2 linked regions of the Macaca fascicularis genome follow. The protein of the gene in region 1 interacts with the protein of each later gene in a biochemical or structural test. Links are inferred from orthologs where the notes say so. Each region holds a gene or a part of one and is shown on either strand. Other genes may lie near its edges.

Region 1 (9,811 bases):
TGGGTCTAAAACTTTAGTCTCATACAATTAAGTAGATTTAAATTTAATTTTTTAATAAAAATATAGAAGAATATGAGATGGTATATAGAATATTTCCATGCAATTACTATTGAAGGCACAAAAACAAAAGTCACGTTTTGTGTGTATGTGTTATTTTTAAAGAAATTCCTTTAAAAATTAGTTTCTTGATGATGCAAGATGACCCCATTCCTTCAGACAAGTCATGTTAAAGAAAACAAGCAAACACACACCTAACCTAAACTAAATGGAAAAGGATGTATGCCTTTGTGCTCTTAATTTATTATTAAATAATTCTTTTAATTGTTCCGAATTCATGTTATTTTTAGTTCAGTAACCATAGCTTCAGTTTCATCTGGCTCTGTTCTATGAACTATCTGAATGGACCCCTGGTGATACTGGCATTGTTCTGGCTAGAAATGCAGAACATGACAGAACAAGCATAGATCATACATTTATTAGTTAGGACTTAGAGCCTCCAACTATGTTAGAACTTCAATATCTATTAATAAACTGTGGTAGAGTGGAACTGCCATCTGCTGACAAGATGGATTTGATAACATAAAAGTAAAGCTTTGATTATTCAAGCTTTCTTCTGAATTTTTCATGCAGTCTTTTAATACCTGCCACAATACATCTCACCCGTTTACTAGGCTTTTATTTCAAATAATATGCTCATGCTATCTTTTAAGCTACACATGTACAATACAAAAATTATCTCTGTAGCTACCTCTTTAGTAATTCCAGATTTCTACTGAAATCAGTGGTCACTTTCACATCAAAGAATGTATTTATTTTAGGTATCTATAATTAAATAGTGACTAACAAATCTACGTACTCAGTTTGTTTAGACCACTATAAATTAGGTTTTTCTCTAATACCAATTCCCCATATATTTATAACTTAAACCTACAAAATACATGCAACTGTATAAGTTCTATCTATATTTCCTCTTGGTAGTATATTTTAGCTTTTAAAACAAAACCTTTGTGTGTCTCCTTAACAAGGCTGAAGAATACATACAAATGCTGCAGTAATTTTATGTGTCCAATACAGTAGCTTTGTTCCTACACTATAGTTGAGGTCAGCATTATGGGTCTTCCTTTTCAAAAGCAACTATTGTAAATAGGGTCTTTTTAGCACTCTGTAGTAAAGACCTACCATTCGTGGCTTACTCATAGCATCTGGCCCTTTACAGCATCTTTTATCCCTGCTAAACAAAAGTATCTGCTAACTATAATAGAGTTGACATTAAAACAAGACTCAGATCTCATTTCTAATGTAAGTGTTGCCTTAGCCAAATCACGTAACTTAGCTCGTTTTATCACATGTAATATAAGAGAACAAGATAGGCATTTAATTCTTATGATTATGCTGTGATACTTTCATGTACTAATTGAACAAATATTTATAGAGATTCTAGATTCTGGGCATTGGGGTTACAAAAGTGAATAAAGCACCTTACATTTTGCTGAAGGAGAGACACAATTTCAGTTACTGGTAAGTACCATGAAAGATAATAGAAATGACAAAGATCTAGGTTGCTCAGGGAATGCTTCTCTAAGGAAGTATTAATAACATTTGAGGTGGGACTTGATTGGTGAGGAGTCAGTCATTTTAAGTTCTGGGGGAACAGCACTTCAGGCAGAGGAACAACTGCAAAGAAAATTCATCTTAGTGACTTTCCCAACCCATGATGGTCACCTTATTCAAAACCTAGTTTTAAACTTGTCCCTACTCAATGGAACCTTCTGTTATTAACTCTATTTTCAAATTATGGCTTAAGTGTTTAATTTACACTATATTCACAGTTTTAAATCTGTGGTCTATGGTTAACTGTTTTGTGTTTACTCCAGTCTCATATCATACTAAGTCAGACATTTTAAGGAGGTAATCCTAGGATTCTTCTGTCATCTATTTTTTTTTTTTTGACACAGAGTCTCGCTCTGTTGTGCAGGCTAGGGTGCAGTGGTGTGATCTCAGCTCACTGCAACCTCTGCCTACTGGGTTCAAATGATTCTCATGCCTCAGCCACTCAAGTAGCTGGGATTACAAGCTTGTGCCACCATACCTAGCTAATTTTTGTATTTTTAGCAGTGACAGGGTTTCTCTGTGTTGGCCATGGTGGTCTTGAACTCCTGGCCTCAAGTGATCTGCCCGCATTGGCCCTCCAAAGTACTGGGATTATAGGTGGGAGCCATCGCACCAAGCCCTATTCATCTTTTATAGTACCTCAGAGTATTATGCACAGATGAGAATGCTCATTAAATGCTCAGGACCAAGTACACTAAAAAGGAAATCAGTTTTTTGTTTCCCCTTTCCCATGTTAGGTTTGTTTATAGAGTACTTCAGAAAGTACTGAGTGACACTGTAAATCCAGTGGAAAGGGCAACTGACTCACAAGTGAGAAATCTCATATTCAATTCCCAGCTTTACCATTTACTTAGGCATGCAGCTTCTGGCAAGTCAAACTCTATGACTGCTTGTCAAGATCTGTAAAATGGTATATCATTTGCCAGGTCAACCCAGGATTAGTTGGTCACCAACTAAATTCTACAGGAGACCATGATCACTGTACGTAAAGAACTTCTAAGGTTACTGTAGAAAACAGTTAAATACTGGAAAAAATGAATGTGTTTTCATTTTAGAACTGGAAAAGACCTTAAATGATCTTGTTTAATCCCTCAGTTTACATAAGTAACCACAGGCCCAGAAAAACGTGGTGACTTCCTCAAAGTTACAAAAATATATTATGGCAGAATCAGTACAGCATCTACATTTTCTAATTTTCAGTCCAGAACACTTTCCACTATACCACCCTGTGTAACACTTCTTGCAACCCATCCCCTCTTTTATTCCAATATTCTTTACAGCCAGATCTAGATGGTAAACACTAAATGACTTTTAAAAAGTACCTAGGCAGATTTCTGAGGCTGAGACTTTACCTAATTTGATTGAACTGAACTGAATCTAAGATGTGACAAACTAATACTATTGAGTTACAATATTAGAAATGCAAGATCAGCTGATGTCTTAGAAATATGTATCTACTAAATGATTGCATATTTGGCCTGTGGTTGAATTATTTTTTTTTACAGTTTCTAATTATATTGATATAATGCAATTCAATTATATTGAGAAATACATAATATGATTTTCTTAATTTAGAAGGTAATATTCTCATACAATATAAAATATTGAAAGCAACATAAAGTAGTTTTTGTTTCTGGTCATCTTCCTCTGTTATCTTACAACTGAACTGGAAGTGTAATCTAAGTTGACAAATAGCTAATAAGTGTCCTTGGTTCACTCTGGATTGTGTAACACTGGTTTAATGTATGCAAATGAAGAACATGATGGAAATTATGTAATGCTTTCAATATCAGAAAGATCCAAATACAATCTTTAATGCAAAAATGAACTGAGTATTAAAAATGAAGGGGAATAAAACAAACAAAAAACCCAAATGACTGCCTAATATTAAAAACAAATTTTCGTCTAAAAACAAAATCCTACTCCCCAGAAATGTCCTAAACACACGCACACCCACATACACACAAAGATTGAAACATTATCTAAATTGAGAGAAGGGTCTTGGAAACACAGAAACCTAACCAGAAGTGAAATAGCTTTAGGGGAAGAACATCAAAATGATAACTACCTCCTTAGTAATTTGTTTTTCCATGAATCAAGAATGTAAAAAGCTTTAGAAAGTAGCATACAAAAACTAAGGTTGTAAGAACCAAATGAAGTAAGTTTGTGAAAGCATTTGGTAGACCATAAAGCACAAGTTATTATTATATAACAATTTGTAGTCTACAAGCATAGCAATTCACCACAGAGGAGACGTAAACGCTTATTTAAAAACTGCAATTCTTGTATACTGACTCATGGAATTTTTATTCTTAAAAAAGAATATTAGCCATGAAAGTTGGATCAACTATCCACTTCTGGAAAAGGAATTTATCATAGCCTCAATGTAAAAAAAAAAAACTTAAAAACATTCCCCCCTCTTTTCAAAATACAGGTCTTCTTTTAGCCATGTGACCTTAAAGCAGGTCACATTTCCTCTCTGGAACTAGGTTTCCTAATATGTGTCAGGCCCTGTGGTAGGTGTTTTGCATATAATGTCTACTAAGATCTGTTATGCAGATAAGATGAAACAGAATTTATTAGCCCTTTCTAAAACTAAAATTCAAAGGGGTTAGGAAACTTGCCCCAAATCACACAGCTAATAATGGCATATCTGATACATTGAACTTTCCTCTAATTCCAAAGACCTTGCTTTTCCCACCATATTATCTTGTAAAATGAGGATGTTCTCAATGATCTCTAAAGTTACTTTATGTGATAAAAAGTATATAATTCAGTAATCCATTACTCTTCCAAAACATGCACAGGAAAAAAAAATTTATTTGTTGAACGTTATCTCACTACTTCGAACTTGCTGACACTTAAAAATAATTTTAGAATTTTAAAGTAGACATAACTTGTTGACAATCTATAATATTTCACTAGGTTTTTCACGGGATATATAACGCAAGTGCTTAATAAATTAAAAAAACGGCAAATAAATGGTAAGATATAGTATTTTCAGCCAAAGTTTTTAACAAGTTCTAAAGTCTCTTTAAAAAATATATATGCAGCTTTTACTTTTCTAAATTTTATAGTCATTAGAACCCAATTTACCTCTCTGTTAATCTGAAAAGCAACACTTTAAAGTCACTTTGAAATAGCTTGTTCTAAAATGAATTACTGCAGAATAAAGAAAGGATATGGGTTTTCTGATAGCGATTTCCAGTCTAATGTTATATTCTGATTGTCACCGATCATTCGTTATCTCTTCAGAATATGCTACTTGAAACATCTTTTGATCGTAGACCAGTCTGTGTTACTTATGGTGAAATTCACCTACGTTAGCCCAACTGAAAGCCGAGCGTTTAAACATTACGAGTATTGCTGTGCGGTATCGGAGAAACTGAGAACCATTCGATGCTAAGGGAAACACTTTATTAGACTTGATGATCTACTAATTTAACAAGCATTTATTGAGCATCCCCTACATGCCAGATACTGAAGTAGAAGTCGAACATAATACAATTATTGGCCATTAAGAACTTCACGTCCAGCGGACTGAAACTCCAGAACGGCTACGATCTTCGCTGAAACTACTACTTACAGATACGAGAACTGGAGGACCACACTGTCTCACCAGTTCATTCTCCTGTTTATCACCGGAATATCAAATCCAAAAGCAAGAGTACTCAAGACAGGAAAAAAGGCAGCTACTCCCAAGCAGTTGAGCTCAGAGAGTAACCCCCACTCCCACGTCAGTGAAGGCTGTTGGGTCTCCCGGGTGGACCCCACAGGGTCCCGCGAATTAGAGGGGCCGGGGAGGCACCTTCAGAGCCGGGACCAGACAGAGGCAGGGGCGGGCCGGGCCGGTACCGGCGTCTCCATGCAGGGCCTCGCTCACCTCTTCCACCTCGATTTCCTTGTAGTCGATCTCTTCAAAGTTGAGGACTTGAGAAGGGGCTTCGATCATCTCACCGGCCGAAGACGAGGAGGAGGAGGAGGCGGCAGAGGCTGTAGACATGATCCCTCGCGGCGCCCGGTGGGGCCGGGAGCGGTGCCGCCCGGACAATCCGGGTGAGATCCACGCCCACCCGCCTCCGGACCGACCCTCAGGCTGGAGCCGCGCAGTCCTGCTACCCGGCGATCCGTGGCGGGGATAGCGGCAGCGGCCACAGCCGGGTCCGGATCTGGCTCCGCTGCGTTTTCCGCCGCTGGGCCCCGCCCACTACACTTCCGGTTCCGGGCTGAAATCGGAAACAGGAGGTGGGCCGTAAACTCCGGGGGAGGGAAGGGGAGAATTTTGTGACTTGGAAAGAAAAGGAGGGACAGGTTGGGGGTGGGGTGGAGTAAACTAAGAAGCAAGCTTGGACCTCTAGAACAAATTTCGCGAGACCTTTATTACAGGGCCTCAGCAACCGGATGATACCGCGAGAGAGGACGCCTGACGTAATTAAAGTGCGCGAACGGAAGTGGCGCGGAACATGACGGAAAATCAGCACGGTTGGTCCCTTAAGGACCAGCGGGAAAGATAAAAGCTGGCGTTTAGTCTCTGCTGTGTGAAGTATGTCTTGGCCTCTCTTTCTCTCCTTTGAGCTGCCAGCAGACGGGCGAGGTGGTGTTGAACTGTGTTTTTTGTGACGAAGCTTGCTTTTAAGTTTCATCCCTCAACTAAGTTGACCTGTTTCTTTAAGACGGCTTGCAAAATGTGTTTTCCTCAATGTGGGATATGGAAGGAAGCAGTTGCTCCTGTTACTTTGAGCTAGTCCCTGACGCTATGAGAAATTCTAAAAGAGCGAATCAGATCATGCAACATGAATAACTATGGAGGCTGAGTGATCAAAAACAGAAGTTAATATTTTGGTGTTACAAACTTTACACAGATTAGGTGGATAAGATATTTACACTTTGGTGTGTTCATCTCAAGTTATGGATTACGAGTGCGGGGCACTAGTGCTTTAGATTGGTAAATGAATCATCAACAGTCTCCTTGAAAATCAAATATTTTCATCACCATTTTCAGGACGTGAGAAAATACACTCAGAGTTTAAAGCAATTATGGTCCTTACAAACTAGATCAATCTGTCCCCAAGATGGTCAGTATTGCTCATGTTGTACTACCAGCACAAGTTTTAGTTTTAAACTAACTGTTGAACTTTATATAGTCCGTTTGACATAAAGCCTAACTGTGGAAAATTGGAGTTAGAGATGAAGATTTAAAGACCAAGGATGGATTCCTGCGAATGTCAAATTCTAAGTTTCAGTAAGAGACTGAAAGGAGGAAGTGAGGAAAATAGTAATTGGAACATCACCAGAGGTGAGCTTTCCAATGAAGAAGTAGCCAACCAAGTATATGCTGTACAGAATTATGTTAAACACATTTGGGATTGCAACTAGATCATTGGATTTGACCATCAAGAAGTTACAAACTTCTTGGAAACGTTCTGTCACTTTTTATTCACAGTTCTAGTGACTCGCAATGACAGTTTGATGAGTGGATAAAAAAATGAAAGAAGCAATAATTTCTTTCCACTGTACACTCTTTGTTTGCATGATCTTACCCAAGGTCTCTGTTTCTCATACCATTTTTATAATGATGACTTCTAATCTCCGAATACTCAAGATTTTTCCTGAATTCTGGACCTATTGGACATCTCTATTTAGATAAACAACTAAACTTCAAGATACCACAGCAAATTCAAAAGTTGTCACCCACCACAAATATATTTCTATGTGATTTTCCTATATCACGTAAGGATGCCATCACCCAGTTGGTTGTCTGAGAAGTCAGGGCATGTGAAATGATGTGTGGTGCACTGATACCCAATATAAGCTGATTTAATCAGTGGCACAGTCATTTTCACCTGTCATTCCCCTTGCATTTCCAAACAAGGATGGTCACTTCTTACCTTGTGCTATAACTGCAGGTCTATATCTGATTTCCCTTTAACACCTTGATCTTGCTGCCAGGTGGGAACTCAATAAATACTTACATATTCTGTACAAATGAATAGCTTTTGTCAGTCCTCCCTTTCCCTGGAGTATAAGACATGTTTTCTGTACCTTCAGTTTAGGACTGGAATCTTGACAAAGGGCTAATTACTACAGCCATGATGCAGTTCTCCTGCTTGATTATTTTTCCCCAAAATTTTGTTACAAAAATGTCAAATATAGAGAAAGGTTGAAAGAATGTTTATCATAATATACATATGTGCATCTCTCCATTCATCCGTATTTACATCCATCTACCATTTTGCTAGATGCATTTCGAAGTGAATTGATTACATGATTTTGAATATCTTCTACCCCAACACTTCTGTGTTTTATCCACTGATTTGGACTTCTGATATTGATGCCAGTCTAAAATCAATTTTTGTCCAACTTGCTTGGAGATTATTTTTTTCTTTTTTGTCTGCCTGCGCCTTTTCCCTAGCTTCTGATAATAGATGGAAAGTTTCATCAGTGTTTATGTCTCTGGGTTCAGTCATTCCCAAGGTTCAATCCATCGCTCACATTCTGTGATTTGGTTATGTGAGCTAGTAAATTACCATTTCATTTAAGCTGGTCCCAGCTGCATTTTTTGTATGACAAAAAATGCAGGATTATCTTGCAACCAAATAATCCTAAGTAATAAAGTTTAAATGCAGAGGAATGATGGAGGGGAACTGAACCTCTCTCAGTTCACTTCAATTTTGACTTTGCATTTCCTTTAACTTTCATGAATAAAGGATAGAAGCTTGACTTCACAATTTCATGTCAGCTTCAGTCACCAGTCCATATGTCTCTACAAATTTCCAGATACATATCAAAACTATTTAGGTAAATTCCTTGAAGTCCCTCTGAGTTCGAGCACTCTCTACCATTCTCCCTCATGTCAGCACCCTAATAACTACTCTCTAACTTCCAACTCTGTCTTCAATTTTGGCCCTTTTATACTCTCCAGGGGATGAGAGGACAAGGGTTTCAAAATCCATTTCCCACCTCCTCTTCACTTGTTCTAAATGAGGTTCTGATCCTATTTGGCTCATTTTGGGTGTAGCAATATCTGGGACCTATTTTCATGGAGGCTTAGCAGAAACTGGGACTAAAGTAGCAGCACTTTAATGTTCTGGGTCACATATATGTCAGACAAGTGCTCCATATTTCCATCATAGGCTTGATGATAACATCAATAATTAAGTTTCCATTATTCTCTTCTGCCTTTTGTGGTATTTGCTATAGTCTAGAATAGTGTTTCTCAATCTTTTTTTCTTTCATTATTGCTCTTTTAAGGAGCCTTTTTAGACTTCTTAATGCCCTCCTCAAATTTTAATACCTCAGATACACTGTATATCTATTTATGTATTGTATGTATATTTGTTCTTTATGTGTAAAAAGGGTAAGATTTTTCTCTCCCCAGTTTTTGCCCCATTTGGAGGTGTTATTGCCTCCATTGAGAATGCATGTACTACCAGTTTCATTCTTCACATGACATATCACAAAGTACAACAGAGAGCATCGCTTGGTAGCCATCTCAGAAGAACAGGTAAACATTCTCTTTCAAAAGCCCTTGGTAAGTGTATCCTTGAGGGATGGGAAACAGGATGCATGAGGATACACACACAGTCATGTGCTGCATAATGATTTTTTGGCCAACGGACGTCATATGTGGCAGTGGTCCTATATGATTATAATGAAGCTGAAAAAATCCTATTGGCTAGTGACATTATAGCCATAGTAATGTCATAGCATGACACATTACTTATAGTTCATTACTCGTGTCTGTGGTCATGCTGGTGTAAACAAACTTATGCTGCTAGTCATACAAAAGTATAATACAATTATGTCCAGTGCATAATATTGATAATGATAACTATGTTACTGGTTTATATAACTACTATACTATACATTTTATTATTATTTTAGAGTATACTCCTACTTCCATAAAAAACCTATAAAACAGCCTCAGGCAGGTCCTTCAGGGGGTATTCCAGAAGAAGGCATTGTTATCATAAGAGGTGACTGATCCCTGCATGTTATTGCACCTGAAGACTTTCTGGTGGGACAAGATGTGGAGGTGGAAGATAGTGATGTTGATGATCCTGACCCTGTGTAGGTAGACGTAGGCCAACACGTGTTTGTCTTAGTTTTTAGCCAAAACGTTCAAAAATTTAAAAAAAAAAAAAAAAAAAAATTAAAAAAGTGTATAGAATAAGGACACAAATAAAATACTTTTGTACAG
Region 2 (9,637 bases), on another chromosome or scaffold:
GTGTTGGGAAGCAGGGTGTGTGTGTTGGGGGAAGCAGGGTGTATGTGTGTGTGTTGGGAAGCGGTGTGTGTGTGGTGTGTGTGTGTGCGTGTGTGTTGGGAAGCGGTGTGTGGTGTGTGTGTGTTGGGAAGCGGTGTGGTGTGTGTGTGTGTGTGTGTGTGTGTGTGTGTGTGTGTGTGTTGGGAAGCGGGTTGTTCCGACGACTCCCCGGTTCCCTCCTGGTTGAAACGTGGCCCAGAAAGAGAGGCACACTGGCCAGGGCACACAGCCAGGGCCGTCCAGCCCCGCAGGCAGCCCCGGTCCTGCCCTGTCCCAGGTGAGCGTGGCCAGTCCTGGAGCTGGCCCTGCGGGGCTGCGGGGCCACGGGACAGGAGCCGGTGCTGCGGTCCGGGCAGAGCAGGGGCGGGGTCCGGGCGGGGGCGGAGCCGAGCGCCCGCGCAACCGGAGCCGCAGCCCGAGCCGGAGCCGGAGCCGGGGCCGGGAGTCGTGGCCCGGAGCGGGCCTTGGAGTCGGCGCCCAGGTGGCTCGCGGTGAGTGATGTGCCCAGCGCCTGGGGGTGGGCTAAGGGGAGACTGTGGGCGCCGAGGGTCCCGTCCCCGTGACTTGAACACTTGGCTTCCGAGCCGTCCTGGCCGCAGGGCTTGGGCAAGGGTTGCCTCGGTTTCTCCTAGGGGAGTCCCGGGGTGTAGGTGGGAAGTGAGACGGAAAGGGGGCATCTCGAGGTGGGGGAGGTCCCCGGCAGGAGTGAGCAGTCCTGAGGAGCCTGGGCTTCAGGTCTCAGAGGGGGCAACTCTTTTGGTTTCCTTCCTCTCTGTGGGACTCAGTTTCCCATCTTCACCCTGCCAGAGAGTGGGTGGGTGTAAGTGGGCGAGTCTGCCTGGAGGATCCTACTGCTGCTCTCCGCACCTCTTAGGGGAATCTCCTGCCTCCTGCTTCTCCCTTGTTGGGTGTGAGATCAAAGTTTAAATCCATCCCTTCCCAGACAGCCCACATCAGGACCCGCGAGGCCACATCTCCTGTCTGTTTGCTCTCCTCTGCTTCTCAAGTTGATGGAGCAGCCATCTGGTCCTGCTTTCATCCCAACACACTGAAAAGCCCTCCACCTCAATCCCCCTGGGGAGGGCCTCCTGAAGCTGCATGAGGGCTGGGGGCTGGACCCCTGCTTCTGACTTCGCTCTTTCTGAGCCCTTCCTGCCATGGCCTTGGTTTCCCCATGGGCTGTGACCTGGCCTCCTCCAGGGTCCTTGTTCTACAGAGGGGAAACACCTGCCCTGTCACCCTCCTCTAACCCTTTAGTGAAGAAGACCAGAGTGACATCCCCACCACCTGTACTTGCCTGACCCGATCACTCAGCCATGAGGCTGCTGGGGCCCCTGAGTTTGTTGGCCACTCAAGGCTCCTTTACCTCTCTGCACCCTGGGATCTGAGGCTGGAAGCATCCTCATCCAGCCCACCTCCCTCCTACCCATCGCAGAACCCCTCTGTGACACATGCCCAGTGGTGGGGAGCTTGCTACTGGTGAGGTGGCTTTTCAGTGCCTTGCAGCTCTTGTTTTCTTTAGCTAAAATCTATGGCTTGCAGATTCTACACCTTGGTTCCACCTCTGTCTCCCGGAGCCACGCAGAGCACGTCCATTCTTTCATTCATTCCGGCGATCATCATTCATGCACTGGATGAGACACAAGACAGAGCAATAGGAAAACCAGACAAAACTCCCTGCCCTCATGGAGTGCACATTCTAGAAAGGAATGGACAGCAATGAAATAAGTAAATACACGGCATGGCAGGTGGTGGGAAGTGCTATGAGTAAAACAAAACTGGGAAGCAGGATGGGGTGCTGGGGCTGGGTATTGCATTGTATATAGCACAGCCAGGGAAGGCTTCCCCAAGACCAGGAGAGCTGGGCAAAGTCATAAGGAGTTGAGGGGTGAGCCACGTGAGTATCTGGGGGGCTGGGAGGCTTTGGTTTTCACTCTGAGCATGATGGGAGCACTGGTTTGGAACAGAGGAGTCCCCTGCTCTGACTTGGGGTCTGGCAGGCCCACCTCGCTGTGGGGTGGAGAATGGGTCGTGGGGAGTGAGGTAAGGGCAGAAGGAGAGCCTGGTGAGAGGATCATTGCTGTCATTCTGGGGAGAGACCATGGTGGCTTGCACCATGGCCCAGAGGTAGTTAAAATAATAATTTAAAAAACAAGACATTCAGATTTGAGATATATTTCAAAGGCTGTGTCGATAGGATTTGGGGTGTAAGAGAAAGGTAGAGTCAAATATGATTCTGAGGTTTTGGCTCGAGCTTCTGGAGGTTTGAAGCTGCCATGAACTGAAATGGGAGTTGCTTAGGGGAGATTGAGAGTTTGGTTTTGTGCTTGTGGAGTCTGAGCTGTCCATTAGGCATCAGTGATGAGTAAGCAGTTGGGAAAAGTTAAGGGCGGAGGTTGGAGTTGGAAATAAAACTTTGGGCATTATCACCATATAGCTGGTATTTAAAGCCACAAGAGCAGGTGGTCTCATCTAGGGAGGGAGTGATATGGAGAAGAGAAGGGGTGCTGAGGCCCCCAGTGTTAGGAACCAGCCAAGAAGACAGAAAGAGTGAAAATCAGAGAGTTGGGGTGCCCTGGAGGAAATGAGGAAAATGCCCCAAAGAGGAAGGAGGGAACAAATATGACCAATGCCCCTGGCAGAGCAAGCAGGCTGAGGGCTGAGGATTGAGCAACGGGAGGTCACTGGTGACAGTTTCACTGGAGCTGGATGGGGAACTTGAGGGTGAGGGAGGGGATGGGAGGACTTGGGGACAGCAGTACAGGCAATAGACAAGGGGGTCTGCTATAAAGGGGAGCAGATAAATGGGATTGGAGCCAAATGAAGAAAGTGGGTGTCAAGAGAGGGCTTTACTTTTACAATGGAGAATATAGTGCATTGTGCACTGGTGGGGGGAATTGGTCTCTTAGGAAGAGAAGTTCAGTGCCGGGGAGGGAGAATGCAGGATGGCTGGGGGAGGGTGGGGGCGCTTGGCCCCAGCAGAGACCCGGGATACTTGGGAAGTTGCGCTTCCCTGGGCTTCCCTTCCTCTCCTGTCTGCAAGGGGTCAGTGGACTGAGATTTCAGCACTTAAGCAAAGCATTTGCTCTTGGCCCCAGAGAAACCAGGTTGGCTGTGGTCTCAGGAAGGAAGGAGCTGTCCAAGGCTCAGGCCTGGGCCTGGGTTTCAGGGAGGGCCCTTGTGGGTCGCTCCTTGACCCTCTCTTTCAGCAAGGAAGTGCTCCTTTCTCTACATGGGCCTCACCTTGGGGAGGACAATGGTGTCTTTGAAGTTGTAGTAACTGAAGTAGAGATCAAAAGGCAATGCAGATAGACTAATAGATTTTGCCTGAAGAGGGGAAGCCCGATCAGGTAATAAAGGGGTAAGAGGAAGGATGTGAAGGACAATTTTTAGGAAACAGATAATGAGTGAATATTTTTTCTGTCTCTTTCCCAAGTTAAACTGAAGCAGGAGAAACTGAAGCTAGACATAATGAATAAATTCCCAAGCTGGTGAGCTTCCTGAGCTGGTTAGTGAGGACAGCACTAAGGCCAGGCCCTCCTCTCCGGATGTTTAATATGAGACAGGACAATGCCTGCTCAGAGACAGGGGACTGGCTGAATTGGCCCTCAGGATTCTTTTTGCTCTGAGGTTTCTGGAAGAAGGCCAGGGCAGAGGTGCGGTGATGCAGCTGCTGGGAGGACAGAGCTCCGAGTCACGTGACTTGGGCGGCCCTCCCCTTCCTGGTGCCCACAGAAGCCCGACGTCACTAGCCGGGGTGTGTATGGCTCACACGTAGGCCAGGCTGCCCTAGGCTTGGTGTGCTAGGGAGGGGCCCCTACTTACTTGTGGCCTGTCCCCTCGTGAATGTGTCTCATGTCCCCAGTGGGGTTTTTCAGGGAGGGTCATGGTCTCCAGGATGCACAAGGCTTTGTGCCAGAATTGCCTGGAATTACCTAGTTCTGGAAGGCTGGTTGGCCAACTCTGGCCTCTGGCTTTTCCTTTGGGAATTTCCCTTGAAGGTGGGGTTGGTAGACAGATCCAGGCTCACCAGTCCTGTGCCGCTGGGCTTTTGGTGTTCTGCACAAGGCCCACCCACAGATGCCATGCCTGCTCCCCAAGCCTAATGGGCTTTGATGGGGGAAGAGGGGGTGGTCCAGTCTCTCCCGATGAGGAGGAAAGAGCAAGTGTCCTCCTCGGACATTTTCTGGGTAAGAGGAGCAGGCATTGTCCTGTCTCAGCTTGACTCTCAGCCTTCTTTCATCCCTGGCTGCGCGCATGCTCCCAGGCCTGGGGTGAGATGGGGAGTGCTGACTGTGTCTCTGGGCTGTTTTCTGGGGAGAGTGGGTGGGTGGTTATTTTCCCCAGGACCCTGGCAGGGGTGATGGTGGGGGCTGCTGTCGCGTCCTTGGCTGATGTTTCCACAGCTGAGAACCACTCCAGGGCCAAGCCCAGAGCTTATTCTACCCCCTTTTGGTCCTCTCTTCCCCCGTCCCCCGCCACCCCACCCTCTTGGCTCCTCTGCTTAGAGGTGAGCACGGGGAGGAGACCTCCTTGGCCTGAGAGAACTACCTTAGTTCCTGGATTCCAGTGGCCTGTGCAGGGGGGGGACACTCTCTCTCCCAAGCAGCCAGACACACACATAACCTCATTGCCTCCGTTTCCCCATCTGACCAGCACAGGGCCTCCTGTGCCCCAGCAGCGTTCTGAGAGATTGGAGGTTTTTCCTTTTGCTTACCTTGGCTGCCGTATGAGGATGGTTACAGTGTTCCTCCCACCCCCAGCCCAGGGGATATTTGATTCATGAACATTTCCACGGTGTCTCTGCGGGGGACAGTGCCGTGCCAGGCTCAGGGATGCTAGGACGAGTAAGACCCAGGCTTCCACGTGACCCAGGCAGGGAGAGAGACACATAAACAACCATCAGCAAAGAGGCAAAATCCCCAGGCCGCTTGGCGTCTACTCCCTCGAGTGGCTGGGAATGTCCCTGATTTATAAAAAGAAGCCGACGGCTCTCTTTGTTGTCCATGCCTACACCCTTTCACTTTCGTTTCTTCGAGGCACTGCACCAGCCCTTGTCCACAGACCCCACGACAATCGCAGAACTAACCATGCTGAGAGATTTTCTCAGCTGCTCAGAGATCCTCCCAGGGCTTGAAGCTCCTGGAGGGTTACTTGCCCTCAAATTCCCAGAACCCACAGCAGGTGGCTAACGGTAGCAGCAGCAGCAGTCTGTGCACGGTGGTTTCGAGGGCGTGGGAGGGAGGTGAGGGCCCTAGGGCAAGTGTGTGGGGGAAGTGTTGATGGGGGACAAGGCACGAGAACGCTTGGAAACAACTTAGTTTGCACCGTAATTTTTCACTTAGCCTAGGATAGGACCTTTAGAACAATATTCTGAGTGTACCCCTTGGAGTAGCAGTGTGCAAAACACACAGCAAGGGCTTGGGGCCCCCGTGGGGAACCCAAATGTAAGAGTTAGAGACATGCATTCTGGAGTTGCACACAGCTTGTGTTGAAATCCTGACTCTGCCTGTCTAGCTGTGACATGTCGTACAAATCGCTGAGCCTCTCGGTGCCTCAGTGTCTTCCTCTGTAAAATGGGCAGATCATAGGCACTACTTCAGAGTGGCTGGGAGGGTTCAGTGAATTCACGCAGGAGAGCACTTAGAATGGCGCCTGGTGTGTTGTTTATGCTTAATTAATATTAGCCATTACTGAAACTGCTGTAGCGTGAATCCGGCCAGTGTGGAGTCCCTCTCACCCTGCTTTGAAGAGAATGAATTCCCTGACTGCTCGGAAGATCTCTCTTTCTCTCTCTCTACTTTTTACATTTTTATTATTATTTTTTTGAGACAGGGTCTTGCTCTGTTGCCCAGGCTGGAGTGCAGCCTGCAACCTCTGCCTCCCGGGTTCAAGTGATTCTCCTACCTCAGCCTCCTGAGTAGCTGGGATTACAGGTGCCCACACCACGCCTGGCTAATTTTTGTATTTTTAGTAGAGAAAGGGTTTTACCGTGTTGGCCAGGCTGGTCTGGAACTCCTGATCTCAAGTGACCTTGGGAGATCTCTTGCTCCTCATATTACCTCAAGCCTTTTTAAATGTTTTAAGCCGGAGACCAAGCATGGATGTGGGAGTTAGGGGTCTTGATTTAATTCTTGGTTGCTTCAAACTCTCTGTGGGACCTTGAGGTGTTTCTTGCCTTCTCTGGGTCTCAATTTTCACATCTGTATGGTGGGGAGCTTGGATTGGGTAATGTCTGAGGCTAGAACCATGGCCAACTCGGGTTCTGCTGGGGCTGACTTGCCCTGGCCTTCCCCAGCCACCCCGCGTCTGGCTTCTGGAGAAGTCCTGCACTGACCTTGTTCTCCTCCCCAGGTTGTGAAATGTGCTCGCAGGAGGCTTTTCAGGCACAGAGGAGTCAGCTGGTGGAGCTGCTGGTCTCAGGGTCCCTGGAGGGCTTCGAGAGTGTCCTGGACTGGCTGCTGTCCTGGGAGGTCCTCTCCTGGGAAGACTACGAGGGCATCCACCTCCTGGGCCAGCCTCTCTCCCACTTGGCCAGGCGCCTCCTGGACACCGTCTGGAATAAGGGTACTTGGGCCTGTCAGAAACTTGTCGCTGCTGCCCAGGAAGCCCAGGCCGACAGCCAATCCCCCAAGCTGCATGGCTGCTGGGACCCCCACTCGCTCCACCCAGCCCAAGACCTGCAGAGTCACCGGCCAGCCATTGTCAGGAGGCTCCACAGCCATGTGGAGGGCGTGCTGGACCTGGCACGAGAGCGGGGTTTCGTCAGCCAGTACGAATGTGACGAAATCAGGCTGCCAATCTTCACACCGTCCCAGAGGGTGAGGCACTCCTGCATACATCACAAAGTTCCCAGGAAAGGGGTGCTTAGTCACCAAGACTGATTTGTCCTCATGAAGTCAGCCTGTGGGGTAACTTGGTCTGTGGGATTTCCCCTAAAAAGGTAGCCAGGCAGGTAAAATTTGCTCTTGACTCTTGGCAGGCAACATACAACTTTCTTTCCTTCTTTCTTTTTCCCTCCCCTCCCCTCTCCTCCCCTCCCCTCTCCTCCCTTCCCCTCTCCTCCCCTCCCCTCCCCTCTCCTCCCCTCCCCTACCCTCCCTTCCCCTCTCCTCCCCTCCCCTTCCCTCTCCTCCCCTCCCCTTCCCTCTCCTCCCCTCCCCTCCCCTCCCCTCTCCTCCCCTCCCCTCCCCTCTCCTCCCCTCCCCTCCCCTCTCCTCCCCTCCCCTCCCCTCTCCTCCCCTCCTCTCCTCTTCCTTCCCTTCCCTTCTTTTCCTTTTTGAAGTCTCACTCTGTTACCCAGGCTAGAATGCAGTGGCACAATCATAGCTCACTGTAGCCTTGAATTCCTGCACTCATGATCTTCTGGTCTCTGAGTAGCTGGGACTATGGGTGCTGTACCACCATGCACAGCTTTTTTTTTTTTTTTTTTTTCTTTTAGAGATGGGCTGTTGCTATGTTGCCCAGGCTGGTCTCCAGCTCCTGGTTTTAAGCAATCCTCCCGCCTTGGCCTCCCAAACAGTTGGGATTGCAGGCATGAACCGCTTTGCCTGGCCAACATACCACTTCTGCCGAGAGGAAGTGTGTGGTGGCCAGGGGCTCAGATTCTGAAGCCAGAATGGTGCAGGCTCAAGGTCAACCCTGTGTGATCTCAGGCTTCCCTGTGGAGCCTCTCCAGCCTCAGTCTCTCTTGTTTCAGTTTCCTCATCTATAAAACAATGGTAATAGTCAAATGGTGCCTATCCTATAAGGCTCTTGGGAGGATTCAGTGAGTTAAATTGAGTAATGCTTAGGATAGTGGCTATTACCACTGGCTGCTATTGATTATTTCTGTTATGAGTGATACTCTGTACTTGTACACTTTTGTTTCTGTCTGTTTTAAATTAACAGCACAACAGATCATAACATTGTAGTATGTTGAATCTCTATTTTATAATTAACGTGGCATATTATATACTAATATAGCTTAAATGTTTATGTAGGATTTCTGATATGAAATTGCATTAGATCATAGATGTTCAGAGTTGGGATATAACTGCCCCAAGAAGGTAATGACTCAACAGAGACCAGAAGGTCAGAGAAATGACCACTGAATATTTTTGAAACTCTTTTGTTTTCTTCCAAACAGTGATTCTTAGGGCTCCTGAGAGGCAGACGGAACACTCACTAACATTCCACTTTATAAATCAGGAAACTGAGACCAAGTAAAGTAGTTTGAATAAGCTCACAATAGTTAATGAGAGGGCCAATGCTGGACCAGCTGGCCAACATTGGTCATTGGCTTATTCATCCATCATTCATTTATTCATTCATTTATTCAGCCAGAATCTACTAGGTGCTTCATACATATTTGCTTAAAGTTTGTTGTCTTCATAGAGCTTTGCACATAGTAGGTACTCCATAAATATTTGTGGATGAAATAAATGAGTTATTGAATGAATGATTGAATTAGAATGACACTGCAGTATTAAATTGGGCTGGATTGGGGAACATTTTAGTTTTTATTTTTGTCTGTTTTCCAAAAATGTATGTGGTGTTCATGTGAGTCTGGGTAACCCTAGGTTGAGACTGATGAAATAAACGAATTTGTCTTCAAGGCTGCACTAAAGCTGGCTCATGTGGCTAGGTATTTACAGAGCAGACGTGGTGCAGTCCTCTCTGATTAGTTACACGTACAGAAGATATATTCATTATTGGACTGACCTGTTTCTCTTATAATTTATTAGGGGAATTGAATCAACCCGTCTGAGAAGTTACAAGATTGTGTCTTGTCATCTTTAAAAGTTCAGCAATGTGGTCTGGTACAGATGGTCTGAGGGGTTTGGAGAAGGTAGCCTAGATCCCTAGGGCCCAGAGAAGACAGGATATGAGCAGAGGAAGTACCTCCGAATTGGTGAAGAAAAGAAATGGGATAACTCATGGGTGAAAGAAGAAATCGTGATGGAAATCAGAAAATATTCAGAACCAAAAAATAATGAGAATATTATTTATCAAAATCTATCAGATACAGCTACAGCAGAACATAGGGGGAAATTTACAACCTTAGATGCCTAGATTAGGAAAGAAGAAAGGCATTTATTTATTTATTTGAGATGGGGATCTCACTATGTCATCCAGGCTGCTGGAGTGCGGTGGCACGATCATAAATCACTGAAGTCTCGAACTTCTGGGCTGAAGTGATCCTCCTGCCTCAGCCTTCCAAGCAGGTGGGACACAGGCTGGCACCACCATACTAGGCTAAATTTTTTTTTTTTTGTAGATACGGGGTCTTGCTATGTTGCCCAGACTGGTCTCAAACTCCTGGGCTCAAGTAACCCTCCTCCCTCGGCTTCCCAAAGTGCTGGGATTATAGGCATGAGCCACTGTGCCCATCTAAGGCTGGATTTTAATGAGCTAAGAATTCATCTTAAGAAAGGGCTAAATAGACAGCAAAAGCAAACATTGAAGGCTGGGACTGAGCTGAGTGGGTAGCAGGGATAGGGGGCAACAGATCTGAGGATACTAGGAGATTTTGAAGGGATTGCATTGTCTGAGGTTCAAGCCTTTAGAATCCAGCTCTCTCTGAGCCCCCTTTGAGCTCTGACATTCTGTGACTCTG

What was found.
Region 2: the proteins of MAP3K7 (region 1) and NOD2 form a complex in vitro, tested with the Homo sapiens proteins (2 studies listed by BioGRID). The link is inferred for Macaca fascicularis from reciprocal best matches to the Homo sapiens genes MAP3K7 and NOD2.

What each region holds. Positions count from the first base shown.
Region 1 is NC_088378.1:84,779,408-84,789,218, reverse strand, and holds the start of MAP3K7 (mitogen-activated protein kinase kinase kinase 7), read right to left. Parts: upstream 5,823-9,811; 5' UTR 5,615-5,822; coding exon 5,495-5,614; intron 1-5,494. UniProt on the Homo sapiens protein: Serine/threonine kinase which acts as an essential component of the MAP kinase signal transduction pathway. Plays an important role in the cascades of cellular responses evoked by changes in the environment.
Region 2 is NC_088394.1:46,652,491-46,662,127, forward strand, and holds the start of NOD2 (nucleotide-binding oligomerization domain-containing protein 2), read left to right. Parts: upstream 1-4,048; 5' UTR 4,049-4,144; coding exon 4,145-4,229; intron 4,230-6,393; coding exon 6,394-6,860; intron 6,861-9,637. UniProt on the Homo sapiens protein: Pattern recognition receptor (PRR) that detects bacterial peptidoglycan fragments and other danger signals and plays an important role in gastrointestinal immunity.